7 linked regions of the Canis lupus familiaris genome follow. The protein of the gene in region 5 binds, or shares a complex with, the protein of the main gene of each other region. Links are inferred from orthologs where the notes say so. Each region holds a gene or a part of one and is shown on either strand. Other genes may lie near its edges. The genes, in order: ARID1B, SMARCB1, DPF3, DPF1, SMARCD3, ACTL6B and PHF10.

Region 1 (4,174 bases), on a different chromosome or scaffold from region 5:
TGTCCTAGGCAATACTCTGCATATCCCTTCTGAAGCAATTTGCAGGCCTGCTTGTTGCAGCCTGGCATGAAGTGCCAAAAGTGGAATTGAGCATTTCGTGAGCATTCTGAGATTTGTTTATCGTGCACCATTTAGTACTAAGTAAATGGACATAAAGAGCTTTGTGGGAAAGTTTGAATCCAAAAATTGAACATTTCATTAAAAAACCACTGTCCTGGGGATCCCTGGGTGGCTCAGCAGTTTAGCACCTGCCTTTGGCCCAGGGCGTGATCCTAGAGTTCCAGGATCGAGTCCCGCGTCAGGCTCCTGCATGGAGCCTGCTTCTCCCTCTGCCTGTGTCTCTCTCTGTCTCTCTCTCTCTCTCTCTTTCTGTGTCTATCATGAATAAATAAATAAAATCTTAAAAAAAAAAAAAAAAAAACAACTGTCCCCTTAACTCTTACCATGCTACTTAGCAGAAAGCATATCTAAAAGCAGATTATTCCCCAAGTATTTGCAGGTCTGTGTGTTTCCTTAAGGCGTTCAACCTTGGATAACGCTGGCCCAAGTGGGAATCAAAAGTTAATGCCCAGAATCCTATTGCAGCATTTCAGGATTTCTCTCCTTTTTTTCTCCTCACTTTGCGGCTGTGTTCTCTTCAGCCAGAGTGTTAAGTGGGAACACTGTGTAGTCACCTGTGCCCTGCCCCTTCCCCTGGCTCACAGGGACCCGCCACATCGGCCGGCTGGTGGCCTCAGAGCCACCCAGGGCTGATGGCTGGTGTGGGCTGCCCTAGAGTCCCCTTTGCCCAACACCATAGGAAAGCCTCCTGTGAGAGGAGGGACACGGGCTGGAATTACAGGCTCGGCTTTCTGGAAGCTTGTGGCTGTTGGAAGGAAACAGTGTTTCTCATATCAAAGCTATAACACTTAAACTGCAAAACAGTCAAGTTACTGCTTTTTAAATTTGTTTTCAGATGTCCTTTTTTTTTTGATTGGAGGTGGGATGGGGGTGAGCGAGAGTGTACATTTGCTCGGGGAAGATCGCAGGCTCTGAGCAGCAGCGGCCTGGGAAGAGTGAGGCTTTAGAAGGTGCATCAGGCAGAAGAATCTCGACGAGCAGCATTTTATGTAGCTATCAGCAGGTCCCTTAATGGTTTTATAACTGTAAATGCTGTCTCTGCACTACTGAGTGGGAGTAATGAGCATTAGTTAAGAGAGGCAAATGAAAAAAAAAAAAAAAAAAAGAGTAAACCAAGACATTAAGTGCTTTTTTTGTCTCCTGGCTTTAAACAAGCCACTTTGCTACAAACCAATGATCCTGCCATTTTTTTTGCTAGGTTAATAAAAACAAGAAGTGGCGTGAGCTGGCAACCAACCTAAATGTTGGCACTTCAAGCAGTGCAGCGAGCTCCCTGAAAAAGCAGTATATTCAGTACCTGTTTGCCTTTGAGTGCAAGATCGAGCGCGGGGAGGAGCCCCCGCCGGAAGTCTTTAGCACCGCGGACACCAAGAAGCAGCCCAAGCTCCAGCCGCCCTCTCCTGGTAAGTGGGAGCGCTACAGTTGTCGCCGGGAAAGGCAGTGGCACCTGCACCCCCCACCCGGCGGGGCTCTGGAGGCCACTAGCCACTTCTGAAAAGGCCACTTCCTGGGCAAGCACACAGAACGCAGGATCTTTGAGGATAAGGGGTGTTTTGTAAGGGAACCCCCGTTGGCAGCGCTTAAGGGAACAGAGAATATAACCTAGGATGTGGCCGTTTGGGCCACTGTGGCCAAGGCACCATTCTCCTGCCTTACCTTCCTTCATCAGAAGAGACTCTGGAAGCCTGAGCTATATACCTTTCTTCCTTCTCCACATATTTAAAAAATATTCCATCTAACCATCAAAAACCAGTCGCCCCAGTTACCCCTGTGAATACTTTGGTGCTACCAGAAAACACTGCCCTGAAAGTTTAGCAGCCAGTTTCCACCAGTTCTGCTTCTGTCAAAGAATGAAATCCGGACTCAGTTTTTAATGTTCTCCTGCCCAGCAACTTCCCACTTGTAGGGAATCCAGCAGACCTGTCATGGTGGAGGTCCCTGCCACCCTGTTTCTGAGGCCCAGCAGCCGGTTAGCTCAGACCCGAGGTCAAGAGCCTTAAGAATGCTACCTGGAAATAATGCAGTTCACCCACAGTCTCCTGAGCAAAACCAAACCCACGATACCTCCCTTTTCTCCTGTCTCTCCACTCCACCGTGGAGACAGGAGACATGCCGTTCTCTCAATTCCCCCGGTAGCCTCTCTTCTACCTGTTAGCATTTCAGATTCCTGAATCACTGTCTTCTACTGAATACGGTATTCTTAGATAGGAAGAGACGTTCATCACCCATAGATCTGGGTGGTGACCTCACACAAGTTAAATCCAGCTGTCTTCTTGCCTGGCCACATCCAAGCCCTGTGATGGTCAGCACTTAGCCACACTGTCCTGCATACAGAATGGGACTGACCATTCCTGCCACTTCCTATCAGATTGTTCTGGGATCAAATGCCAGTATTTCTTAGGTACTTACAATGTACCAGGCTCCTTCTTAAGTGCTCTACCATTTAATCTTTACATCACCTCTATGGTGCACATACTGTCCCAAAGTCCATGAGAAAACTAACACACAAGATCTAAGTAACTGTCCCCAAATCTCATTGCTAAGTGAGTGGCACCCAGCTCGAGCATTATGCCTGGACCTACTATATTCCTCTGCCTGTGTCTGAAGTGGCATTATAATAAGGAAACCTTCCACGCGTAGAAGAAGGTGTCTGTGATCCAAAGAAAGAAGTTGTTTTCTCCTTGTTTCTCTGCTGTCTGGATGGCAATCTAGTACCTACGGTCATTAATCAAGAGATCACACATAAATACTTCTTAGGGTCAAGATGCGCTTGTAGGGAATATACCTGGGGTATATATTTAGACCCGTCAGTTCGAAACACAATTAGAAATGCTCTCTCAGCCCCACCCTTAAGGATTTGAAGCCTTTGCAGTTCTGGTTTACCTTAAAACTGTGAAATCTAATTTTAAAAGTCTCACAACATTACATTCAGTTCACAGGGTAAAACAAGCTGCCTGTGAACAGCTCTGAAACTATTTTTCCAAAATAAAAACTCAGTGGGGTGTAGGGACCAAAGTGGCGATGTCTGCAAAGATGTAAAGGTATATTTTATTTGCCAGGAAAAACTCATGTCACTGAATGGGCTGCACTTCTGTATGGAGAATAGCTCTCCCAGTGAGCATCAGCTTCAGTACAAGAAATCCCGCTGAGGTATAGACCCTTCAGAAAGTGGAGGGCCTGTTCTCTCAACAGTCGGCTCTTTCCTTTTTCCCTTTCTTTAAACTACCGTTTTTATGGCAACATTATCGTTTTAACTGCACAAAGGAGCTTGGATTGCAGATGCACTTCTGATAACGCGTTTTCCGTGGTCCACATGGTCCGGAGTCTTGTGAATCAAGAAGCAGGAGGAGGAGGGTGTCCTGAGCCCAGCCTCCCGGTCAGGGCATGGCCCAGGCGACCTCACGCAGAGCACATGGGGCCAGGCCGCTCTCCATACCCTGCTCATACAGACGGAAGGACACACAGACTGGCCGGTAGGGGAGCGAGGAACATCAGCCCCAGAACCCATAACACACTTTTCCCTGACACTCATGAGTCCGTGGCCTCTCTGACACCAGAGCAATCATTAGAGAATACGAAATATATTTATCGTCAATGAAGGAAACAAGATTATTCCCCCACCATTTGCCACGTCAGGGTCTCCTACACTACACAATTTTTAAAAACGAATTTTCAGCCAGCATTTGTGTTCTTAGAGTCCATTCTCCCCCTAAGAAGGTAATTATAGTGTATTTCTTATCAACACATCCAAACTAAAAAGATTCCTAAGAAAAGTACTAGATTGCTTTCTAAATGGCCACTCTGAAGCCACCTGAATTCCCAGCTCATTTGGCTACACTAGCGTTGTGTGTCATCCATCTGTATTCCGGTTTCGATCTGGTGTGGCCAGTGTGGACTGAACTTCCTTTCCGCCAGCCTCTGGGAGGTAGAACCCCTCGGCCCGTGATCTTCACCGTAGGGACTGTGTGGTTTCTCAAGCCAGAGCTCCATGTTACTGTCTTCCAGTGACTTGGGCGAGTCCATTGAGGGAAGCTCCCAGATGAAACGTGGGCAA
Region 2 (4,174 bases), on a different chromosome or scaffold from region 5:
AACCTGAACATTTGTCTTTCAAACCCAGCCCTGGATCCTTGGTTTAAAATAGCCTTTTGGTGTTTTCCTAGTAGTGAAAGCAACCTCTCATTTGCAGAGAAGAGTGAACCCTTTATGGTATGTGAGTTAATTGAATTACTCTGAGCCTCACTTTCCAGAAAGTTTTTACTGATACAGTTTCTCATCAGCCGTACTGCTCTGGAAACCTGGAAGCCAGAAGTATTGCCTTGTCCATCTCAAGCTGGCCTGTGTATCTAAAAGAGTGATCTGATCTTTCTCTGCCTTCTTCAAATCCCCCAGCCACCGGCCGAGTGCAGTCAGTTCTTGAGGAACATGCCAGCCGCCACAGTGGGAACCCTCTCCATGTCCTGCCTCTCCAGCCCCAGCCCTGCCTCCTCACTCTTGCCACCTGTGCACTTCCTGAAATGCCCTTCCCATTCCAGCTCTTCCCCTACTCCCGCCCCCAGTGAGCCCCAACCCAGGACTTAAGGTTCCACTCCAGGGTTTGCTCCCCTGGGAAGTCTCCTCACTCGCATTCCTCACAGAAAGGGTAGGGCTTCCATGGAGTCATGCCTAGCACATTCCGTGTTATACTGGGACTCATGCACTCCTGTGACTGCGGCCTCTCTGCACCCTTCCTGTAAGCCAGGTGCCTCTGAATGGATGCCATGGGAGCCTGAGGAGTACACGTGCAGAATCTGGGGTGCTGGGGGGTCACCACGGACCACTGGAGCCTGCCAGGGGTGCAGTGGGTTTCCACAGACCGTGACTTGGAATCTGATGGCCAGTATTGGGCTCCAAGACTGAGCAGGGACATTTCTCGCATCTCCCCAGGGAACAGAAAGCCAAGAGGAACAGCCAGTGGGTGCCCACCCTGCCCAATAGCTCCCACCATCTGGATGCTGTGCCCTGCTCCACGACCATCAACAGGAACCGCATGGGCCGGGACAAGAAGAGAACCTTCCCTCTGTGGTGAGCGTGCCTCACTCTCTGCTGATGCCGCCTTAATTTTACCCTCTTCCCTGCCTTGACTTTATGTTCCCCCAAACACTATGCTGCCTTCTCGAGACTGTTCCCTGTCGGCTTTGGGGACAGCCAGTCTCTGGCTTTTGCTCTGGCTTGCTCCAGCTTGCTCTGCCTTGCTCTGCCTGCTTCAGCCTCGCTGCTCTTGCCTGTTTCCCCAACGCCTCCAGGTTCTCACAGTTCTGGGGACAGGAGTTCAGTGCAGCAAAATCAAGGTGTCAGCCGGACCCTGCTCCCTCTGGAGGCTGGGGGGGAAGGCTCTTCCTGCCTCTTCTGGCCTCTGGTGGCTGCCAGCATTCCCTGGCTTGTGGCTGCATCACCAGTTTGTGCCTCAGTGGGTCACAGGGCCGCTTCCTCTATGTGTAATATTGCCCGGTCTTCTCCCAAAAGGACGCTTATGATGTGATTTAGGGCTACTTGCATAACCTTCTCCTCTTAAGATCCTTAATTATATTTGCAGAGTCCCCCCCACCACCGCTACCACCATATAATGGTCACAGGTTCCAGGGATTAGGACTAAATTTCTTTTGGGGGGCATTTTCAAGTTCACCCCCACTTTTATCTCTGCAGCCTGCCCTCACCTCTACACACTATCCTCAGGTATCTGTCACACACTGCTTGCCAACTTTTTGAGTCTAGGACACAGTCCTCCCTCCTTCCTGCCCTCAGGCCAAAACCCCAGAACTCTTCTCCTGCACACTCCTGCCTTCTTAGCCTTCCAAGTGTCCGGAATTGGACCGCCTTTGGCCAGCTCCCCCTCAGATGTGGGCTCCCTCGCCCAGGCCTGGAGTCCTCATAGTGGCCGCCCCCGTCTGGTTTCCTCTCTTACCGCCCTCACCCTGCGTCAGGCACATGAGCCTCCTCACTGCCTTCAGAGCCACCCAGAAGCTTCTGTAGTTCCCTCGGCCGAGAGCTCATTCCTTGCCAACACCTGCACCGCTGACCCCTTCTCCCTCTTCCTTCCCTTTCTCCCTTTCCTTCCCATCAGTGTTTGAATGTCACCTCTCAGAGCTGCCTACCCCTCTTTAGAATGGCCACTCCTGTCTCTGTCTCCTGTCGCTTTCCCTGTCATGTTTCCCAGAGCACTGCTGTCTGGCATACAGTGTGTTTTCCTCATGTTTGTCATCTCTGCCACCCCACCCCCCACCCCCACCCCCACCCCCGCCGAGCAATTCTCAGCCCTCCGTATTCCGCAGACACCCTTAGGTTCCCAGTGCCCTCCTGCATACCCCTGCCCCCCTCACCACCCCAGCCTCTTTCCTCTGTGTCTTCCTGAAATACAGATATGACTGCATAACTGCCTTGCTCTGGGTTCTCCTGGAGCTCCCTCGGGGTAGAGGCTGGATTCCATAGCCTGAGATGGAGAAGCATGGGTACTTGGACACGTGTAGCTTCTCTGTGTCCCCGACAGTGCTCCTTCCCTCCTCCCAACCTGCATCCCACCCTCAGTGCTCTGGCTCTTGCTCCCCAACAGCTCCTCACCACTCCTGCCCCTTGGATTTGGTTAAGTATTTCCTCTTCTGAAAATACTCTTCCAAAAAAGAAAAAAAAGAAAAGAAAATACCCTTCCTTACCTACAGTTTTCTGTGAAAGTTCTACCTGCTTTGGGGCTTAAATCTCGCTTCCTCTGGGGTACGTCTAGGTCATACCCCACTGCCCAAGGCCGTAGCTCCCTCTCCTTCCCTGAGTGTCCTTGAAGCCTGGAACTCTGCTCCTGTGGCTGCAGGACCCCTGCTTGCCTGGTCTCCCCGCTGGCTCAGCCCTTAGTTAACAAGTCACCATAAGAAGTGGGTTTCTCCCTCTGGCCGAGTTAGCAGTGACAGTAGTGCAAAGAGGGAGGGAGGCCCTGAGCGTGGAGACCCATGGCACCCCTTGCTGACTTTGCTGCCACTTCACTTCCAGCTTTGATGACCACGACCCAGCTGTGATCCATGAAAATGCATCCCAGCCTGAGGTGCTGGTCCCCATCCGGCTGGACATGGAGATCGATGGCCAGAAGCTGCGAGATGCCTTTACATGGAACATGAATGGTATGTGGGAGATTGGGGTCTGCGCAGCCCAGGCCCAGCTGAAGTGTGAACAGTCCTTTTTCTTGCCTCCTGCCTGTTGGGATCCTGGACTCTGAACACGACATTCAGAGCTTTGTGGCATAGATTGTTAGGGTGTGGACTCTGGGTTCAGATCCTGCTTCTGCCCCCATTTCCTGTGGGTTGGGCATGTGAGCCTCAGATTCCTTCCTCTCCTAGCGAGCTTGGGCAGGTCAGGGGCCAGTCAGGATGCAGCCTCTCTATCCAATGAGCTCACGATGACTTTGCTGCTACTCAGATCAGATCAACGCATGGCCCTCTACCCACCTCGCATTAGCTCTGTCCAACCCTCTAATCTGTCATGATGCCGTGTGTGCACGTGTCATACCTCTCTCATCCCAGTGAGGTCTACCCTCCCTTTGTCTGTTCTTCCTTTTCCCATTCTCACTCTGTAAGTCCTGGGTCAGATGCCTGCTCTTCCTGGTTCCCAGACCCTGAGCATGACTTCATGCTCAAGAGAGCATACTCTTCATGAGCAAGAGAAAGCGTAGGAGACATTTTCTTTTTTTATTTTTTTTCTAAAGATTTTGTCTATTCGTGAGAGACACAGAGAGAGAGGGGAAGAGACACAGGCAGAGGGAGAAGCAGGCTCCGTGCAGGGAGCCCAATGTGGGACTCAATCCCGGGTCTCTAGGATCACACACTGGGCTGAAGGTGGCACTAAACCGCTGGGCCACCTGGGCTGCCCAGGAGACATTTTTCAGAGTGTTTTGTCCTTATCCCATTCAGGAAGGAGGATTGCATATGTGTTTATTTTTTCTTTATTGTTTTCCTGAATCAGACTTTTTAAAACAGATTATTTATATTCAGACCAAAACCAAAGAACAGCAATGAAAAAAGCCCCAGTGAGTATAATTTTTAAATGAAGTTGAGAATCTCCAGAATCTCAGCGTTCCTAATAATAGTTTCCCTGCCAGTCATTTGGCACGTGCAAAGATATTTAACAGAGTTGTAATTATAGTGCAAGTATAATTTTATTTTTCTTCACTTATAAGTATCCTCCTGGTTTCTTTGGTCTTCATAATTGGCACACAATTTTCTGTTGAGTTGTAGTGCCTTCTTTT
Region 3 (4,806 bases), on a different chromosome or scaffold from region 5:
CTGAGCTTGTTTCTCCCCCGCATATTAACCCACCACCACTTTATTCCCCAAAGCTAGAGGAAACCTTTGTGTGACTGGGTTTCTGTAGGGGGCGACCGTGTGGTTGGCTTTTTTTTTTTTTTTTTTAGGAAAGGGAGAGAGAGACTCGGAGGCACACAGAGAAAATGCTAATGTCGTTCAGCTCCGTTTCATTGTCAGGAGGGACACAAGAGGATAAAAACCTAGCTCTCCAAACCATTCTCGCGGCTCCCCTCCTCCCTACACCACCATCCATCCCTTTAGCTGGATGTGTCTCTGCGCTTTGTTCTAATTTATCCCATGCATAATTTATTTACGTGTGTATTGTTTCCTGATCAGCAACTTTTAAAAACAAATGAAATGTAGAAGATGTCTTGCTAAATAAGTTGTTTTCAAAAAATAAAGGCAGATGGTGTGGGTCTCCCAATAACAACGTGTGTGCTCCTGCATTAGGAGTTTAAAAGCCGTCCGGAGCGCAGGAGGTTCGGCTCGTCCGGGAGAGGGGGTGGGTATTGTTTACACCCCCTTTCCTCCAGGGAAAGGGTTTGGGATGCAAAAAGGAGGAGCTAATTAAAAAATGACCACTCAACTCCCGTCTAGAAAAGGCAGGCAGGGATGTTGTGTGTATGCTAGCGCGTGCGCGCGCGCGCGTGTGTATGTGTGTGTGTGTGTGTGTGTGTGTGTGTGTGTGTGTCGACACAGAATTACAAAACATGTCATTGCAACTGTCTCTAATTATTACAAAGTATAAGTTTAATAATTCAGGACTAATTCCACTAAACCAGCCCCCTTCTCTGTTCCCTCCTCCACCTCTAACCCCACCCCACTCAGACACCCTCGCCAAACACGCACCCTTCCGCAGTTCAAAAACAAACAAACAAACAAAAAACCGGAGCCGGCAGGGAAACAAACCCTGGAGCGTTTAGAGATATTGCGCCTGCCGGCGCGTGAGCGGGCTCCAAGGTAACGCTGGTACCGCTTTCCCAGTAGGAAACAAATCTGGCGCACATGTGAAATAGATTTCTCTAACTTGAGTTTACCAGGTGGCATCAGCCTGCCTATGTGATTTCGGCTGGAAATGGGGAAACTGCAAATCAGCTGGAGGTTCGGCTGAAACTCACAGCATCAGCGGTGTGGCTGCGCGAGCGACCGGGGAGCGAGGATGCGGCGAAGTTACGCCCATTTATTCTGCTGTAAAACATTTTCTTTCTTGGCTGAAACGTTGTGGCGTTCCAGTGCAGTGTATCCGAGCTTGCGAGCGAGAACTAAAGCCGGGGGCTGTTCTGTGATCGGCGTCAGCTTCCAGCTTCCTCTTAATCGCAGCTTTAATCGCAGCTTTAATACATGTATATTAAAAAAAAAAAAAAAAACTCCGAACCGGGGACCTTACTACCTTTTCCCCTATTAATGATGGGAGATAAGCTGGTGCAAACACGTCCGATTACCCTCGCGCGTTCCTTTGCGCTAGGAAACACCCCCACACCCCCCGCAGCCTCCCTCCCTCCCCCGGTGCGAACGTGGTTTTCAACTCCAGGAGGAGCCTGGGGTGCCAGCGCGGTGCGCTGAGTTGAAATAACCCGCACGGGCATCGGCCACACAGCCAGGAGAATTTTGCACGAAACGCCCCCCACCTGCATCTCCCCCTCCCCTCGCCCGCGGCTCCCACCCCGGCTGGGAAGTCCTGGTCCCAGAGGCGCGGACCCCGAGCCACGCCGCGCGGCGACCGGGAGTCCCGACCCACGTCGCGCGGCGATGGGGGAGCGAGCTCTCCTCTGCCAATATCATTGCCAATAGCACCCCTTGTAGGGCGACGCTAGTTTTCCGAAGCCTCCAGCGGCTCCGCGATCGCGATCGGACTTGGCGGCTTAACATTTCCATCGACTGGAAGGAAGGAAGGAAGGAAGCCAGGACGAAAAGGAGCAGGAAGGCAGGCAGGCAGGAATTGGCAGTCGGACCCGGGGACTGGTCCCCGCATGTCCTCGCCCAGCCCGCCCCCCTGCGTCCGGGATCTGGGCGTCCGCTCAAAGTCTCCCGGCGGCGGCCAGAGGCACCTGCCCCTCGCTCTGGCCGGGAGCAGAAGCTGCCTCTCCGCCCGCCTCGGTTTTTCACCCAGAGGAGGCAAGAACACCATTCATAAGACCTGCAGCCTCCCTGCCTCCCAATCAACCCCAAGTTAACCCGAGTCGTTAATACACTACACCCAGTTCGCCCGCGAACACACGCAGACACACCGGCGACCGCCCGGAGCGCGGTCACGCTCGGGGGGCTGCCCCGGCAGGAAAGCCCCCGGGCAATCACCTGGGCCCCAGGGCTCCCGGGACCCACTGCTCCCCCTGCGGTCCTCCCAACTCCGGAAGGTTTGCACAAACTCCCCGCGAGCGATCGGAAGGCGTAAAGCGCCCTGCAAACTCCGGAGCTGCCACGGTCCGCTCGCCCCGGCGGACCCAGCAGCCGGGCAGGGGCTGCGGACTCCGGAGGCGCGGGGCGCAGCCAAGTGCACCCAGGCGGCCCCTGCCCGGCGCTCGCCCCCAGCTCGGCCGCCCCCCGCGCCGCGCTCGCCATCCCGCGACGCCGGGCACTCGGGGGACCGTGCAGTCCCCGAGCTGCCCACGACCGCCCGCCTCCCCCCCCCCCCCCCCCCCGTAGAGCGCTCGAGCGCCTGGCTCCCCTGCCGAAAACCCCTCTCCGTGCGTCTTCCAATTAAGCAGAACACAAACGTAACAATTTTCTTCTTGTTAATTGCATCTCTTGACATTTCTGCGCGTTGGGGGTAAAAAAAAAAAGAAGATGAAGAAGTAAGAGCTGAAAGAAAAGAGAAGCCCCGCCGCGGCTGCAGGCGCCTGCAAGCGCAGTGCATTGGCAGCGCTTGGCACGCGGAAGGCGCCTTTTTTTTCATATTGAAACCAGGCGGAATATGTACATTTTTTAGTCTTACTTACGCTTTCAGGGGGTTGTGAATGACAGTCGCCATTTTGCTACAATGTAACAGAATATTGTCTGTCTCAGAGTTCTAAAGGTTCGCTCAGGGGAAGCGGCGAGCCAATCAGAGCACGGGATACCGGCCCGCTGGCCAATGGGCGCTGCTGGTCGCCAGATGGGCGGGGCCTGCACGGTGGTAGTTATTAGGGGAGCTGTCAAAGCCCAGAGGTCACTCCCTTTTGTAGAGCCCGAGAGCAAGCAGGTCTTAAAGGGGCAGTACCGCGAGAGCAGCTCCTTTTCGGATTTGGGAAAGTGGAGACGCACGGGGAAAGTATTCTAGTTTGGTTTGAGTCCCTACTTTCTAAATAATTGCAGAGAGTTTGCGCTCCTGGACAGAAATATTTAAGTATTGCCAACAAACCACTGAACCCCATTCATTAGCTTTTGGCTTTGCTGTTACGTTTTTAATCCCCCAAAGGGCAAATCCCCTCGTTCCCGTGCAAAAGTTGGAAGGCTGCCGTTTCGTCTAACAAATTACTACACGTGCCCAGCAGTTTGCTAATGCTCTAGGTCCAAGGCTTTTTAACATTCTCATTCCTGTAGTGTTTTCTTTATCTCGGCCACCTTCTCTCTCTCTCTCTCTCTCTCTCTCTCTCTCTCTCTCTCTCTCTCGGTTTCTTGGAACTGCTGCCGCCGTTCCCGGCGACTCCAGGACAGCAACTCCCCTCCCCCTGGAATGTCTCAATGTCAGGCTCGCTCCCTCCGGCAGCCAGGGCTTTCGTTACGTAATGCGCGGTGGTCGCTGTGCGCGGTTCCCCACTCCGACCTCTTCCAATCTACACACACACCAGAAACTTCTGAAATGGTCAGATTCCGGCCGGCCGGGGAGCCAAGTGGGACCTGGCGCTCTGACCTTTAGGCTTGGGGACAGAGGAGGTTTAAGGAAACTTTTTGGAAACGCTTTCTGCTACTAGGAAAGAGAGTAACTAGACAGAAGGTGTTGCCAGAGTCTCTTTCGGGGAGTAGCACACGCGATTCTGGCGTCACCTTTCACTACTTAGGTACACGGTGGAAAAATTTGCCACTGAATAATCCGGTAGGACCCGAGGCGTTCAGAGTCTGTGTCTGCTCCAAGTCAGCGTGAACTCCTCACTGGCGAACCCCCGACGAAATTGGGAGACTTCGGTGAAGCCAGGCTTCCACGGGGCAGCGGGGAATCTCCCGGTGGATGAAATCGCACTAAATCATGAATAGGGGCCTCGTTAGCATACAGAAATCTGGCTAACATCCCAAAGTTGTTTAATCAGGTCAAATAGCTAAAATAGCGGAGGAGGGGTGGAAAGGGGGAGAGAAGATGCCAAATTGCCACCAGTTCTTCAGAGCTCTGCACTCTCACTTCCTTTCTCAGGGCTCCTCTCAAGGCAATGAATTAAAATTAACAATAATAATAATAACAATAATGTTCCAGAACTTTCAGAGCGCAATTCCATACACTATTAGAGTTACAGAAAAACAGAATAAGACTGAATGGGTATGTTTGTTTATAAGACTTGAAATCTTTAGCTCCTTCTTTCTGCCTAGTTCATAGGCAAGTCCTATAGATTTCTTTGTAACCCCTTTGTCACTTGAAACACCTTATACATTTTTCTAAAATTAAAGTTTGAAAAATTCTTTTCTTACTAATTTGTCAAGGAAGGGAGTGGTTCAGAAGCTAGTTCTTGGCCTAGGATGGGGTTTGGGAACATTAAAAAGCAAGCAAAGTTCAGACCTAAGAACTCTGAGGAGTTTGAAGTATCAGCCAGAACTCCCACCAACCTCTTTGAGATATCAAAACCACAGCAGATTGGAAGACAACTGCAGACTTTTCAT
Region 4 (3,850 bases), on a different chromosome or scaffold from region 5:
GACGGCGCTTGCCGTGGACTTGTGGTTAATAGAATGTGGTTTCCCAGGGTGGACTTGTAGGTAATAGACTGTGGTTGTCTCAGCACAGTGGGTAATGAATTGTGGTTGTCATGGTATTACGGGTAGTGCGATGTGGTTGTCATGGCGACTGGGTAGCTGTTGTGGCACCGGGGTAGTGGCCAACGGGGGGGTCTCTGCGCTGGGGTAGCGGGACGGCCAGCGGGTTGGCATCGCACGGTATTGTCACAAGCAGTTTGGCGGCCAGGGTATCCCGGGTAATGGGGCTCGGGCTGCAGGGAACCCAGGGTGTGGGGCCCCCCTGTGCCAGGCAGTTGCCATGGCATCGCGGCTGGGAGAACGTGGTTGCCACGTTACTGTGGTTAACGGAACCTGTTGGCCATTCTGCTGTGGGTAATGGAATGCGGCTGCCTCAGCACAGTGGTTAACAGAATGTGGCTGCCCGGGTGTTGTGGGTGGTAGAAAGTGGTTGCCACAGCACTGTGGGTAATGGAATGCGGTTGCCATGGTGTTCCGGGGAGCAGAATGTGGTTACCATGGTGGCTGGGTAGGGGCCGGGTGGCCGCGGCAGCAGCGCGGCGGCCCGGGCACCGCGAGGGGGGGGTCAGGCCCAGCCTCAGAGCCGGGCTGGCGTGGGGGCCGGGCCGTCTCCTCCCCGGGCTCAGCGGCCACCGCGGGGGAGGGGGCACGATGGCCCCTAACCGCATCCCTGCCCCTCGGCCCCCAGGACACCCCTCATGTTTACAGTTTACGGTGAACATGACGGCAGCCGTGCGGACCTACCGCTGGCAGTGCATCGAGTGCAAGTCCTGCAGCCTGTGTGGTACCTCGGAGAATGACGTGAGTGGCCGCCCGCCCCGCCCGGACACGCCCCCGGGACACGCCCCGCCCCGCCCCGCCCCGGGACACGCCCCCAGGTGACCTGCCCGCCCCGCCCCTCGGCCCGCCGGGGCGCCTCAGGCCGCTCCCTGGAGCCCCTCCCCGGGGAGCAGCGGTAACCTGTTCTGTCATTATTGTTAGTGTCCGTTAACGGGCCGGGCCCTTAGGGCTCCTCATGTCCCTGCCTCCTCCCAACCACCCTCTGAGGTAGGTGCCCTGTTCCCACTTCACAGAGAAGAAACCCAGCTCAGGGAGGGGAAATGACTTGCCCGAGGTCACCCGTCTAGGAAATTAGTAGAGCTGGGACCCGAACCCACATCCAGTGCTTCCAGAGCTGGTATCAGACCACCTGGGTGTCATTTTAAGTGTTCCGCAGACTCTGTCAAACCCAGACGACACACTGCAAACGGACAGACCACAGGGGTGTTCAGCTTGGCCAAGCCGGGTTCTGCAAAGATCCCGTGATGCAAAGACCTTCTCGGAGCCCCTTCTCGTGGGAGGGACCAACCTTCCCCAGCCCCTCTGACCTACCCCTGCCCCAGCCCCCCCACCCCGGTTTCTGGTGCCCGTGCCCCCAGGGTGCCAGCTGGGCGGGTCTCACCCCCCAGGACCAGCTGCTGTTTTGTGACGACTGCGATCGGGGTTACCACATGTACTGCCTGAGTCCTCCCATGGCGGAGCCCCCGGAAGGTGAGAGAAGAGGTGGGCACCACACGGGCGTGGGCAGGTCGAAAGGCGGGCTTCCTGCTGGAGAAGACCAGGCACTGTGTGTCTGCTGGTTGGGAGGGAGTTGGGCCAGCCCTTCCAGGACCTGGGCCTAACCCCCTGTCCTCCCCCACAGGGAGCTGGAGTTGTCACCTCTGTCTTCGGCACCTGAAAGAAAAGGCCTCTGCCTACATCACCCTCACCTAGGCCTGGCTCTGGCTCACCTGGACCTCTGGGGTGGTGCTGACCCATCTGCCTCTCCGAGCTCCTCCACACCCTCCCCGCCCTCAGTGCCCCACCGTGGGAGGGGGAGAGGGGGAGCCCGAGAGGGGGCTGGGCCCCCCCTTCCCTCTGTGCAAGTGGAATGTTTGCCCTGTGGGTTGGTGGGCCTAGCAGGGCTCCTCTCCCTTCCTCCCTCCTTCCCCATCCCTTGGCAAATGGGCACCAGGGGCTTCTGCTCCCCTCAAAGCCATACCCCGCCTCTGGGCGGGCATGAGGGGCGGCAGATGCCAGCCCGGGGCACGGACACAGCGTTTTTCTAAAGAAAAAGTCAAAAAGTTAAAAAAAAAAAAGAAATTAATATATACAAAGAGTCCTCTAAGGCCTGGCCGGGTGGAGGGGGCACTGCTGAGCATCCACTGGGCACCAGTCTATGCGGCTTCCTGCCGAGCAGCCCCGCCCCCCGGTTTCCGGAGTTGCAGCTGTCCCGCCTCCGCACCCAAAGTGGGCACCATTCCCCCGTGAGCCCGGGCAGGTGGGTGTGGTGTCCACCCTCGCCCCGCCCTGGTGCCCACCGTGGATACTGCATGACGTGAACCATGGTTTTGAACTCCGCTCCCGCTCCCTCCCCGAGCGCCCCGCCCTGCCCGCTCCGTGCCCGCCGTGGCCGAGGTCGGGCCGCCGTGGCGGTGTGGGGGGGGCACCCCCCAGGCTGGTGGGCGTCGGCTGGGGGGGCCAGGCGGGCCCCCGCCCAGCGCCTGCTGGAATGAGAAGCACAGACTCTGCACCGGACTGGTTTTTCCTCCTTCCCCTGCTCCAGTTCCCCACCGGCCAGGCCGGGCTGCCCCCTGCCACCCTCGCTGGCCATTTTGGGGGTAGCGAGGGGGCGTGGTTGTTTCTCGTGGTTGTGTGTGTTTGTTGTTCGGGTTAAAAAAAAGGGAAATTGAGACTGCAAGTGGGGGAGGTGGTGGGCTTGGGGGGTCTCCCCCGATCCACGCATGCCCCCCCTTGTACACGAGTCTCCTTTATTGCCTGCCTCTGCTGTGAATTAACTTGTTCTGTGTATTAAACTGGGCCTGACCCCTCTGCCCGCGACCGCCTCGTTATGCGGGCTGGATTGGGGGGCATCGCCAGGAAGGGGAGACGGGGGCCTCGTGGAGGGAGAGCTGACCGAGGTTAACAGCTGGAGCCCGCCCGACCTCCATCTCCCTCCAACTCCCCCCCCACCCCGCCTTTCCCTGGCTTTGTCCCAGCTCCTCCCAGCCTCGCCGGAAAGGAGAAGGGGGATGGGGTGGAGGGGGCTCCCGCCCAGCCAGCTGTGGTTGCCCTGGCAACGGGCTGCTGCAGCTGCAGCGATCGGCAGCGAGGGGGGAGGCGGGGGCTGGGGCCTGGGGGGAAGGGATGGGAGGATGAAGGGGCCGCCCTCCGGGGCTAGGGGAGGGGGCAGGGTGCCAGGAGCACCTCCTGTAATCCCCCGACCTCACCTGGGGTCCCCCGTCCCAGGGATGCTGGGAGGGAGGCAGATTTGGGTGAGGCGGGATGAGGAGAGAACCAGGACACCGAGAGATCAGCAGAGAGACACACATTTATAGAGAATCGGAACAAGAGCAGGAGAGGGAAGAAATAGATCTGGAGAGAGGTAGATGAGCGAGCCACGGGGGGGGGGGGGGGGGGCGACAGAAGAGATGGAGATTCAGTGGGAGAGGAAATAATAGTAAGAAAAAATAGCAGACACACCAGGGAGAGACAGGAGGAGGAGGTAGAGAGTGATCTGGAGAAGCAGGAGAGCCGATGAGGGGAGGCAGAGAACCAGGCACATACATTAGGAGAGAAGAGGGGAGGCACACTGGGCAGCGACAGGCAGGATCCAGGGACGGCAGAGTCCCAGGACGCTGGCACAGAGATGAGGCTTCAGGGGGGAGGACAAAGCATTTAGGGGACAATAGAGAAATGTGGAGAGAGCCGAAGGTATGGAGGGATTCGGAGGTTGGCCGGGGACAGAGCCAGGGGTGATGGGCGCCAGAGGGAG
Region 5 (4,174 bases):
TGGCAGGCCTTCTTCCCAGTGCATTTCCAGGAGTTCAACCCTGCCCTGGCACCACAGAGATCTCCCCCAGGGCCCCCAGGAGCTGGTGCTGACCCCCCGTCCCCTCCTGGTGCCGACCCTTCCCGGGGGGCTCCTGTAGGAGGCAGGTTTGACCGACAGGCTTCTGCGGAGGGCTGCTTCTACAATGCCGACTACCTGGCGGCCCGGGCCCGGCTGGCTGGTGAACTGGCAGGCCAGGAAGAGGAGGAAGCCCTGGAGGGGCTGGAGGTGATGGATGTTTTCCTCCGGTTCTCAGGGCTCCACCTCTTCCGGGCCGTGGAGCCAGGGCTGGTGCAGAAGTTCGCCCTGCGTGACTGTAGCCCACGGCTCAGCGAGGAGCTCTACCACCGCTGCCGCCTCAGCAACCTGGAGGGGCTGGGGGGCCGGGCCCAGCTGGCCATGGCGCTGTTTGAGCAGGAGCAGGCCAACAGCACGTAGCAGGCCCCGGGGCCCTGCCCCTCCATGGAGTTCCCCTGTCTGCCAGCCTTGGGAAGGGTGAGGCAAAATGGATGGACAGATGGAGAGCTTGTTGCTGTATTTTTTTAATAAGAAAATGTTATTAAAAGCGTCTTCTGCCAAACTGTTTTTAGGTCTAGGGAAAATGGAGTAAAGAGAAGAATCTGGGACAGAGGGGGGGGTTTCCCAGAGGGACCCACCGCCTTCCCCCTGTCCTTCCTCCCCAGTTGCCAATGACACACAAGGCCGCTCTCAGATGCATGACCTTTAATCATTCCCCTGCCTCACCCGGCACGTGTCAGAAGAGTGATGGCAGAGCTTTGGGGACAGGGCCTGGGCCCAGAGGCCCACAGCGGTGGTCATTCACAGGGGCTCCTAGGTGTTGCGCACAACCAGCGACTGCTCCAACTCCTGCCTGCGCTGCTGGATCTTTAGAGAAATAAGAGCAGTAGCAGGGTTACGCTGTTGTTGGTGAGTGACAGGACAGTCCCACCCAGCCACCCTGGAAGAGCCTCTGGGAGCAGGGAGGGCTCCTCCGCGGCGAGGGGGTTGGTGGAGTGGCAAGGGCCACAGACGTGGCTGAGAAGGGAGGCTTCTCCTGGAGTGAGGGAGGGAAGGCCTGAGGTACACGGGCCCCTCCACACCTTGCAGTAGAAATAGCGGCTGACAGCTTCCTGGGACCAGGGCTGGTGGTAAAACTCAGCCCGGCGCTCCTCCTCAGGGTTGCCTGCCACATCTGTCATCACCTGGGAGGGAGCAGTGGGGTCAGCCCTGTGCCCAGACCCCCTCCAGCCCCCATGTAACAACATTTACTGTCTTCCCGATATGCTTGTCTTCCATCCAGTGCTCCCTGAGTCCCCTTCACCTTGAGGTCCCGGCTCTGGGAGCGGAGCAGGTCTTGGATGTAGCCTTTGGGGTCTCTGGAGAAGCTTAGCATGAAGTCCCTCTGGATCTTGAGCTGGTTTATGGACTCAATCGTCTCATGGATCTACAGGTAGAAAGACAGACACTTTCACCTGGCCATGGTGATGTGGGAGAGGAGGGGAAGGAGGAGGGGGGCGAGTGGGGGTTGGGATCTGCTGCCATCTGTTCTTTGAAGGGCTATCCCTCAGGTCGCTGCTGCCTCTGTAGTCCCGAGGAAGGGGGGATGGGCAGCACTCCCAAGTATCGAGGGAAGGGCCACCTGCCCCCTTCATCTCTCCATAGGCCTACGCTCTTGTCTGTTGTCTGTATTTTGTCATTTCTGGGTTAATGTCCCACTCCAGTTCTGGGCTCTGGCCCCACCTTACTGTCCAGAGCGCTGATCTCCTGCTGGTTGGCTGTGGACAGGAGGAAGCTGCTCATCTGTCCCTTCAGTGGCTCCTCCACCTCCACGTCAATATCATAGCACGCCGTCTTCTTCTGGTCCGACGGGTCCACGCTGCCAGGGAAGTCCAGCCCTTGGTATCCACACTGCTTCCACAGAGGCCAAGGGTCCCAGGGGCAGAGGTGGGGGGCAGGGGTGGGGTGGGGTGGGGTGGGAGGGATAGAGTGGGCAGGACTGCCATGATTCTCTGGTCAGAGGAGCAAGCTGGGGCCTCACCTGATGACGTGGTTGATGACAATTGGGTCAGGGGGCAGCAGCAGAGCTGTGAGGCGCTGGGGAATCTCAGAAAACTTCAGCCGTGGGCAATCAAAAATCTGAGGTGGGAGAGAAAGAGACCAGTCAGCCCTAGATCCTTCCATTGTGGGCGGCCACAAGATGCCAAGAGCAAATCTAACTCCTTAGTGCTGCTGGGGCTGGGACCAGGGTGTCTGTGGGCAGTAGAGAGTGGACCAGGAGGTGTGGGGGTTGTGGTGCAGGGGACCAAAGCACCCGCTCTGGGTCGGTGGCCACCCAGGTGCAAATCCTGCCTCTCCCATTAACACTGCAACCTTGGGCCAGTCCACTAGGCTCTCAGGCCTGTTGTAGCATGTCCGGTGTGGGGATAGTAACTACCAGGGTGGCTGGGAGAACTAAGTGGATGAGTACACATCAAATGCCTGCAGTGGTGCCTGGCATATGGCGAGTGCTCAATAAACCTCGACTGTTATTTTACTCCTCAAGTTTATCTGCCATATTTATTTTTAAAGCATTATTAATAATCTCTACTTTGGTAGAGTCTTGGACCCAGGACTAGAACCCAGGGATCCTAACTTCCAAGTGCCAAGAATATTACATTCCCCAAACTGTTGACCTTTTAAGGTTCTGGATCTTTCTAAACTGGCTTGTCTAAAATGGATGGTGGGCTGCAGCACGGAGCTACGCTGCAGTAGGGCCTACACTAGGACCCTGCTTACCATTTGTGATACCCAGGAATCTAGAAGGGGGGTGGTGCTGCCTTAGTCGAGGCACTTACCCTATTGGTACCTCTGCTTGCCCCCCACATCCCCAAGATCAGGAGAGAGGGTACCTGCTGGAAGTATTTGTCCCCATTGATGTATTCCTTATCATGCGAATCCTGCAGCCTGTTGGTCTTCACATACTGCCACAGGGCCTGCACAATGGCTGAGCGGCTCTGTGTGTGCAATCCCAACAGCCGAGCCAGGCGAGGATCCAGTTTGAATTGGGGAGGCTGAGGAAAGATGGCCATGGACATAAAGAGGGAGTGGGAAGAGCTCAGGGCCAGGCAGTGTGGGACTGGGGGAATGTGGTGACTGGGCTCCTGGGAAACCTGCTTCTGGAAATGAGGTAGGGAAAAGAATGGGGTCTCTTGGTGCATTTCTGTGAAGCCTAGGCCTGGCCTAAGGGAAGGGGTGGGGAGCTGGGGGGGCTAGGGGCCTCAGGTGGAGTCAGGGGGCAGGGCACAGACCTGGTAGTCCAGCATGAGAAGCAGTGTGCAGCGTACACTCAGGTCCCCTGGCCTCTTCACCTGGAACCCATCCGTCTCCTGGGTTGTGGGTGTTCGGTGCCACTGCCCAGGGAAGGAGAGCTGGGTCACCTCACAGGCCCACATGGGCTGCCAAGGCCAGGGACTCTAGGGTGGTCCCTGATCCAGATCTGTGCGGCTGATGGAACTGTGGTCTGGAAGGGTGGCAGTTCCCGGGCAAAAGAGGTCTGGGTCTTACCTCGACTAGGTGGTTGTCGGGGCCATAAAGGTCTTTGTCCAGTTCAATGACCAAACTCTTGAAGAAGGAAGAGAACTTCCGCTTCTGCTTGCTGGGCTGTGGGAGAGGGACAGGGACCGTGGGGGCAGGACAGGGACCGTGGGGGCAGGATGAGTCGGGAGTGGGTGGGGCTGGTTGGGTAGGGCAGCATGATTAGAAGCAGGCCTCTACACCCATACTGTCTCTTCAGGCCGCCCACCCCTGGTTGGGCTGACTCCCTAACCCATAGTGCAAACATCTCCTTCTGTCCTCAGCTCAGCCCCATACCCACCCCAGGACACCTGGAGAGACCTGGGCCAGGACGTACGTCATCCAGGAGCTTCCCCTCCACCCGCAGCTCCCAGGAGGCAATGCTGCCATCGGAATCTTCAGCATCAGGCTTCGCAGGGTTAAAAGTATTGGAGATATAAAGACGCAGCTTCCGCTTTTGCTGTAGAAATAAAGAATATAGTACAAGAGCAAACACTGTGTGCTCCCATTCCCGGGGCAGTCCCACTTTTCCATTCCTGGAACAGGACCTAGAGACCTCTTCATGCCCCCAAATCAAGACACC
Region 6 (4,174 bases), on a different chromosome or scaffold from region 5:
CTCACCTCAGCAACAACAATAATAATAACAGTAATAACAATTTTGTAAGATAAATGCAGGTGTCAAGAGGTCAAGGGACTCATCCAGTCATCTAGGTCTCAATTTATAGAGGCCAATGACTAACTCAGAAATATTTCAGTTTCCCAGCACTGAGTCAGCTCTCTCCCCTACAGCTCACCTCTCCCACTTAAGCCTGGATGCCTCCAGTCTGAGGTTCTAGGCCTGGACTCCCAAACAACATTGGGCATGTGAAATGCCACTCTTGCCAGTGGGTGATCAATGAGCCACCTTAGTCTCTTTCAGAGCGGGCATCTGGTGAGCAGAGAAACTTCTGGGGCATTGGTTGTCACAAGGTATCCTCTTCCTGTGCCATCCATGGTCTTTTTTTCCTTTCCCTTTCCCTTTCCTCTTCTTTTTCTTTCTTTCTTTCCTTTTCTTTCGTGTGTGTGCCAAAACCCGCTATCCATGGTTTTAATGCTTCCCTCACACTCAGCAAATAGGTAAGAGTGCCCTCAAAACAAACATTCACATGCATATACAGACATGCATATGCACATGCACACATCCTGACACGCATAAACGCATACATATAGGCACACATCTACACACATGCTCACATAAGAGTCGCTCAGCTAAGCCAAGCTGTCGGAGCTGCTCCTTCACCTTTGCTATTAAAATTGCTGTGGAGGTGGTGTCAGGCCAGGAAAACAGCTGGGGAGAGATAGATGGGGAAAGGGAGCTGAAGATGGGTTAGCTGAGCACGGGTACACGTGTATATGTATAGGGCCCAGGCACCGGGGACGGGAGAGGAAAAGGGGGCACTAGAAAGACAAGGATAGAAAGAAACAGGGAGAAGATGGAGACACGCCCCCTCCTGTACCTCTCTCCTCCTTCCCTTCTTCCTTTCCCTCCTTCGCCCGGTGATTTCATTCAGACTTGGGTATGGCAGAACCTTGATCAGGAGCCAGAGAATGGACGACTCTCCAGGACTATGGTGCCCTTTTCTCGACCCCATTTAAAAAAAGTAAGAGAGCAGGGGCCCCGTGAGACGTCCTGAGGCGTCCTGGTCTCCAAATGGACAAGGTTTCCATCTCTTGTGTACGTCTGCTCTCTACCTGGCTATCTGTTAGAATCGATCTCGAAGTCCTTGCTATCCTCCCCACAATCTTAAAGTTGCGGTGTCTGCCCCTTTAAAGCAGCAGCCCCGGGTCCGGTTATTGTCTCGCCTTGCAGCCAATCCACGGCGTCATTGGGGGCGGGGGATCCGGCCTCCTGATTGGCTACTGAGCGCCCCGCCCCGCCCGGGATCCCGGGAGCTGTCCGGCCGCCTCGGTGCTGATCCCGTCGCCGCCCACGGGCCGTGAGCAGCGCTAAGAGGGCATTATGAGCGGGGGCGTCTACGGCGGAGGTGAGCTAGCCTCGGGCTTCAGGCTACCCAGCCTGCTGCGGCCTCACCGGCAGCCCTGCACCCCGAACCCGCGCGACCTAAGCTCTGGGCACCCTAGGGCCTGTCACCCCGGCGCTCGAACGGGTCCAGCCCTGGGTTTGGGTCCTGCGCCACTCCTACCTTGGTCCTCCCAGGTCGGTCGTTTGCGCGCACTGGGGTCACTCTCCACCATCCAACTCACCTCCTCCCGGCCCCCTGGCCCCTTCTTTCCCGGCAAGGAGAGTGGCCTGAATAAGGCCACTGGGCAAGAAGGGACTCTGGGGAGGCTTGATCCCCACTCCCAGGACCCCGGACTTCAGGCCGAGCTCCTACTTGCCCCGGCAAGCGTTGAAGGTGGCGAGACTGGCTCTGCCTTGACCTCCTCTCCGAGCTATCCAGGGGGAGAGAGTTTGGGAGAGGTCCCCTCACACACCTGTCTCCCCACACAGATGAGGTGGGGGCGCTGGTCTTTGACATTGGCTCCTTCTCAGTCCGCGCTGGGTACGCTGGGGAGGACTGCCCCAAGGTGAGCCTTCCAGCCCCATCCCCAAGTCCTAGGGCCTCGGACTCCCCTCCAGGCTTCCCAGTGACCCAGGGTTCTCACAACACAGAGAGAAGCTCTGCAGAGCGGGAATGTGGGAGTAAACCCAGGGGCGGGCTGAGGGCCTTGCTATGGGTCTGGATAGGGGCAAGAGGTTGATCCCTCTTCCTGCCCATGCCCCCTCCAGGCTGACTTCCCCACCACGGTGGGGCTGCTGGCCGCGGAGGAGGGGGGCGGGCTGGAGCTGGAGGGGGAGAAAGAGAAGAAAGGGAAGATCTTCCACATCGACACCAACGCCCTGCATGTGCCTCGGGATGGAGCAGAGGTCATGTCGCCCCTCAAGAATGGCATGAGTAAGGAGCCCCCACCCACTGTCTCCCACCACAGACCAGGATCCCACTCACCACAACCCAGGACATATCACCCCACACTTACAGAGTCTATCTTGCAATTGCCCACATCCCAGGAATTCCCTCACAGCTTCCCACAGCTGACTGGTTCCCAGCCCAGGGGCCCAACAGATTCCCAGGAAGGGGGGATTTCTGCTAGAACTGATCTCACTTCCCCTCCCCTGGACTTGGCATCCCTCCTTCCTTTGCTTTCTGTCCCTGGACCCCTGCCGGCCCACCTTCATCTCTCCACGCTGGCCTCCTGGCTCCAGTTGAGGACTGGGAATGCTTCCGCGCCATCCTGGATCACACCTACAGTAAACACGTCAAGTCCGAGCCCAACCTGCATCCAGTGCTCATGTCTGAGGCCCCGGTAAGTGCCTCACCCAAACCCTAGTCCAGCCCCAGGTGCTCCCTACCTCCTTTCTGCCATTCACTTCTCCCTTCTTTTTTTTTTTTTTTTTTTTTCACTTCTCCCTTCTGAAAGCATCTGCCATTGATCACTCCACTTAACTTTTCAGACTTTTCTTCCAACTCCACCATCTTCAAGCACTTTTTTTTTTCCTCCCTGGTTTAGTCTTTATCCCTCTCCATCCTCCTGTTTTATCCATTCATATCTTTTGCCCATTCAGCCTTATCCACTGCTGTTTCTCCCCCTCCCCCCCCCCACCAAAGTCCTTTTGGACTTTTTAACTTAAAATTTTTGTCAATGTTATATATGCACATAACCACTTTGATTTAGAAAATATGTTAAAGAAAAAACGGCCATTCATATCCTCTTCCTTCCATTCCACTTTTCCAGAGGCAACTGCTTTTCATTTAGAGAAGTTTTGTCATATTATTCTATATCTCTAAATATCCCATTCAAATGCTGCTTGTGGATTTTATAGTTTTAGGGATTTATTTCCCACTGTAGAAAATAAATATTGAGGGGTATCTGAGTGTCTCAGTCAGTTGAATGTTGGGACTCTTCATTTTGGCTCAGGCTGTGATCTTAGGGTCATGAGATTGAGCCCTGCATGGGGCTCCATGCTCCATGGGAATCTGCTTGAGATTCTCTCCCTCCCCCTCCCATTCCCCCTCCTTCTCCTTGTACACACTCTCCTCTAAAAAAAGAAAGAAAGAAAAAAAGAAACATTGAGCTCTCTTTCCTCCTCCAGCCCACACCACACACTTCCCTCATTCCTCACCTTTAAGTATAGTTGTATTTTAGATTTCTAAAAAAATTATTATTCAGTATTTACATTCTTGTGTTTATATATGGTAATCAAGCCTCAGGCAGGCAATACTCTGGTCACTTTTCCTTTCCTGCACAGCTCCTTTACATAGAACTGAAAATTGCACTGATTTTTATTTTGCTTAGCTTTCTATTTATTTAATGATATGACCCTAAGTTATTCATCTGCTATTATTTATCTGCTTATGTTATCTATATCCTTTCTCAAACATTAGCTCCATTAGATATTCTATCAATTTGGTCTTTTTGAAGAAATCTCTCCAAAAACCCACTAATTGCTCCACTTTGGACTTGTTGCCTTCTATACAAAAGACATAGCTATCATCCTGACATCTCCCTTCACCATCATCTTAGGGCATCCCCTCACGTCTCTCCCGTAATAGAAGTCCTGTTTCTTGAATCTCATTACTCCTTTTCTTGATGTACTCCCTTGTTTTCATAGAGCACATCCTCCAGTAACTGCCTTATAAAGGTCATGAGAGGTAAAAAATGTTAGGACCTTGCATGCCTGACCTTGATTGATAGCTTAGCTAGATATAACATCCCAGATTGGAAATCTTGAAGGTACTGGGATCCCTGGG
Region 7 (2,915 bases), on a different chromosome or scaffold from region 5:
CCATAGGAAGTTCTTCTGGCATGAATTTATAGCCCTCTTCTACCCTTCCAGCCAAAGGTCATTCCAAATGCTCTATGTGGAATTTGTCTGAAGGGTAAGGAGTCCAACAAGAAAGGGAAGGCTGAATCACTTATACACTGCTCCCAGTGTGATAACAGTGGTAAGTACTGACATGTCTTCTTAACATTTTAACCACCCTATTTGTTGCTTCAGAAACCAGGATTTCTAGTTGTCAGCTAGACCTGAGTCAAAGAATCATCAAATATATAGGGTGACCTATGAGGCATAGAAAAGCAGCCCGTGTATTCTCTACTTTGTATTGTCATTTCTTTGGTGATTAAACATTGTAGCCATTCTCAAGAACTCCCGAAGCAAATTAGCATTTGATTATGCCATAGTAAGTGCAAAATTCTTACGTGAAATACTAATGCTGGTTTTGGTTTAGGCCATCCTTCTTGCCTGGATATGACAATGGAGCTTGTTTCTATGATTAAGACCTACCCATGGCAATGTATGGAGTGTAAAACTTGCATTATATGTGGACAGCCCCACCACGAAGAAGAAATGATGTTCTGTGATGTGTGTGACAGAGGTTATCATACTTTTTGTGTGGGCCTTGGTGCTATTCCATCAGGTAAAGACTGAAAAAAAGGAGGAACGTTATCTCTGAGTGAAGGGACTCTCCCAGCCTTTTTTTCTTAAAGGCTCACATAAACACCATAAAGATCCTTCTGTTCACAAGAAGTGACCAGAGCTGTGGTTACCCAGAAAATGTCCACCTGCTTTTCATCCCTAGGTAACCCAACTGAATCACAAGTGGGATGTAAGTGTTAGAGGTACAGCTTAATACATAGAGAACTCATGTCTTTCTACTGGAAGAACTAAAGAGCATCAGTTTGTTTCAAAGCCTTGATTTTATTTTTATGTCATCTATTCAGAAACTTAACAAAATGACTGCTATGCCTTTATAAATATTAAACCAGATTTCTATAAAATGAGACAGCATGACAATTCCAGATAACTTTGGAATGAACAGAGTCGAATAAATCACAGTAATTGGACTAAAATATTACACATAATTGTGTAAATTTAGAACTTATTTGCATAGTTAACACTGTATAATACTTTATAAAATGTATGCCTAGAACTAAGTTTCCTGGGAATCATTAAGAAGCAGGCAACTTGAAGTTCTGTAGTAACTCAGATGGAGTACATGGTGCAGTTTATCAGTGATTAAGTTTAAAGTGCTGAGTCTGGTACACCGGCCTTGGGAGGAAGTTTAGACTCGCACTTGCCACTGAGCAGCAGGGAAACGGCTGAAAGTGAGCCAAACTCTGTAACAAGTTTTATATCAGGATTTGTATTATTGAACTCAAAGTGTGGTAGTGTTTGGGTTATAGAAAGGATGGTAGTTTTCAAAGGTCCCCATCATTACACACAATTACCTCCTGCCCCCTCCACTTGCATTGAATTTCACATGGTATTGATTACACTGATTATTTTAAGGGAGTTTATTTTTCTCCTTAAAAATTATTAGAACTCCTTATTAGAACTAAGTGCCCTTCACAACACAAATCCACAGAGAAATTACTAGCGATAGCTAAAGGAGAGCCAAATGGGTTTAAAATTCAGTCCTAAAGAATTAAATTTCATAGTATATTAACTAACAATTTTTCTCCTAGGTCGCTGGATTTGTGACTGTTGTCAGCGAGCCCCCCCAACTCCCAGGAAAGTGGGCAGAAGGGGGAAAAACAGCAAAGAGGGATAAGATAAAATAGCTTTCTGACCCCAATATTGTAATATGGATATAAATGAAATATTTGGTGCCAATTTATTTACATTCTCAATTTTATGCCAATAAAAGATTTCTGAAATTAACTATGTGCTTAAAATCTGCTACTTTATTTATTATAAGCTACTTTTACCTTCGAAACCAATTTTAGATAGAGAAATCATAGTTCATTTTCCCAAAGTTTTTTTTAAATCTTTAGTACTTTGGCTCTATTCAGAAATTCAGTGGAAATATTACGTAATCGAAATACTCAACTATTCCTTCATTGACCAGAAAGTGAATAGTAGTTGCATGAAATTTTCCTAATCTATATGGTCTCTGGCCTACCACTGGCAGCATAACAAAGTTATTTAATGATGGAAGAATTTTAACTAATAGGTAGGCCAGGATGATAAATAACAAACGATCTGATGAGAGTTGGTGCAGCTGGGTTTCCTGTCTGGACAGGGGCGCCCACTCCACCTGGGGGCAGGCCCAGCGCTTTAGCCCCGCAGCCACGCAAAAGCGCAAAAATGTACGTTTCAGGCTTGATTTCAGCAGCAGCTTCAAAGTCCTAAACACATTGTAACTTCATTCAGAAACTCTAGGGAGAACACAGTTCTAGCTACCAGCCCTTTCATCTGATGCTCTGTTTTGATTTATCTTCTATATTCCTAGGCTACTGCCCTGTTTCAGTCACCTGACAAGCTATCAACCGGAGTCTAAACATTTTATTGTGCGCATTCCTTTTACAGGAATTTTGACCTCTGAGAAAATACTAACATCGTTCTTGCTGCTTTCCCTCCTTTTGGGGTGTATGAGGTAACACAAGCGTATGGCTTTATTTTCCATCCCCCGATCAGAAGCCACAATTTCCACCAGAGAACGTAGCTGGGTCGTAGCGGGGCTCGCAGACTCAGGGAGGAGGCTCCAGGGCGCGCCAGGGCGTCAGAACAGAATCTCCAGGACCAGCTTGAGGACGCTAATCACTATGGTCCAGAGCACGGACTCCTCCTCCTGGGACGCGTCCTCCGGGGCCTGGGCCTGCCGGTGAGCCACGTCGCGGGCCTCGGAGGTGGCGGCCTCGGAGAACGGGGACGGCTCGAGCCTCCGGTCGTAGTACACCTTCATCTCGAACTCGCTC

Evidence for each region.
Region 1: SMARCD3 (region 5) and ARID1B share a complex: the UniProt entries of both Homo sapiens proteins name them as parts of the neuron-specific chromatin remodeling complex. The link is inferred for Canis lupus familiaris from reciprocal best matches to the Homo sapiens genes SMARCD3 and ARID1B.
Region 2: SMARCD3 (region 5) and SMARCB1 share a complex: the UniProt entries of both Homo sapiens proteins name them as parts of the BAF complex. The link is inferred for Canis lupus familiaris from reciprocal best matches to the Homo sapiens genes SMARCD3 and SMARCB1.
Region 3: SMARCD3 (region 5) and DPF3 share a complex: the UniProt entries of both Homo sapiens proteins name them as parts of the BAF complex. The link is inferred for Canis lupus familiaris from reciprocal best matches to the Homo sapiens genes SMARCD3 and DPF3.
Region 4: SMARCD3 (region 5) and DPF1 share a complex: the UniProt entries of both Homo sapiens proteins name them as parts of the neuron-specific chromatin remodeling complex. The link is inferred for Canis lupus familiaris from reciprocal best matches to the Homo sapiens genes SMARCD3 and DPF1.
Region 6: SMARCD3 (region 5) and ACTL6B share a complex: the UniProt entries of both Homo sapiens proteins name them as parts of the BAF complex. The link is inferred for Canis lupus familiaris from reciprocal best matches to the Homo sapiens genes SMARCD3 and ACTL6B.
Region 7: SMARCD3 (region 5) and PHF10 share a complex: the UniProt entries of both Homo sapiens proteins name them as parts of the neural progenitors-specific chromatin remodeling complex. The link is inferred for Canis lupus familiaris from reciprocal best matches to the Homo sapiens genes SMARCD3 and PHF10.

What each region holds. Positions count from the first base shown.
Region 1 is NC_049222.1:47,261,340-47,265,513, forward strand, and holds part of ARID1B (AT-rich interactive domain-containing protein 1B), read left to right. Parts: intron 1-1,318; coding exon 1,319-1,523; intron 1,524-4,174. UniProt on the Homo sapiens protein: Involved in transcriptional activation and repression of select genes by chromatin remodeling (alteration of DNA-nucleosome topology).
Region 2 is NC_049247.1:28,807,246-28,811,419, reverse strand, and holds part of SMARCB1 (SWI/SNF-related matrix-associated actin-dependent regulator of chromatin subfamily B member 1), read left to right. Parts: intron 1-834; coding exon 835-972; intron 973-2,925; coding exon 2,926-3,053; intron 3,054-4,174.
Region 3 is NC_049229.1:46,575,094-46,579,899, forward strand, and holds the start of DPF3 (zinc finger protein DPF3), read right to left. Parts: upstream 3,023-4,806; 5' UTR 2,990-3,022; coding exon 2,958-2,989; intron 1-2,957. UniProt on the Homo sapiens protein: Belongs to the neuron-specific chromatin remodeling complex (nBAF complex).
Region 4 is NC_049222.1:115,605,965-115,609,814, forward strand, and holds the end of DPF1 (zinc finger protein neuro-d4), read left to right. Parts: intron 1-745; coding exon 746-858; intron 859-1,475; coding exon 1,476-1,599; intron 1,600-1,738; coding exon 1,739-1,809; 3' UTR 1,810-2,911; downstream 2,912-3,850. UniProt on the Homo sapiens protein: May have an important role in developing neurons by participating in regulation of cell survival, possibly as a neurospecific transcription factor. Belongs to the neuron-specific chromatin remodeling complex (nBAF complex).
Region 5 is NC_049237.1:16,005,440-16,009,613, forward strand, and holds the end of SMARCD3 (SWI/SNF-related matrix-associated actin-dependent regulator of chromatin subfamily D member 3), read right to left. Parts: coding exon 4,174-4,174; intron 4,052-4,173; coding exon 3,929-4,051; intron 3,679-3,928; coding exon 3,583-3,678; intron 3,429-3,582; coding exon 3,327-3,428; intron 3,090-3,326; coding exon 2,928-3,089; intron 2,176-2,927; coding exon 2,078-2,175; intron 1,916-2,077; coding exon 1,780-1,915; intron 1,484-1,779; coding exon 1,361-1,483; intron 1,242-1,360; coding exon 1,140-1,241; intron 925-1,139; coding exon 871-924; 3' UTR 566-870; downstream 1-565. UniProt on the Homo sapiens protein: Involved in transcriptional activation and repression of select genes by chromatin remodeling (alteration of DNA-nucleosome topology).
Region 6 is NC_049227.1:8,990,856-8,995,029, forward strand, and holds part of ACTL6B (actin-like protein 6B), read left to right. Parts: intron 1-934; 5' UTR 935-1,383; coding exon 1,384-1,408; intron 1,409-1,875; coding exon 1,876-1,952; intron 1,953-2,154; coding exon 2,155-2,320; intron 2,321-2,628; coding exon 2,629-2,729; intron 2,730-4,174. UniProt on the Homo sapiens protein: Involved in transcriptional activation and repression of select genes by chromatin remodeling (alteration of DNA-nucleosome topology).
Region 7 is NC_049233.1:72,418,479-72,421,393, reverse strand, and holds the end of PHF10 (PHD finger protein 10), read left to right. Parts: intron 1-51; coding exon 52-160; intron 161-445; coding exon 446-634; intron 635-895; exon of another isoform or gene 896-1,682; coding exon 1,683-1,768; 3' UTR 1,769-1,878; downstream 1,879-2,915. Other genes in the region: C12H6orf120 (UPF0669 protein C6orf120 homolog), read right to left, coding at 2,720-2,915. UniProt on the Homo sapiens protein: Involved in transcription activity regulation by chromatin remodeling. Belongs to the neural progenitors-specific chromatin remodeling complex (npBAF complex) and is required for the proliferation of neural progenitors.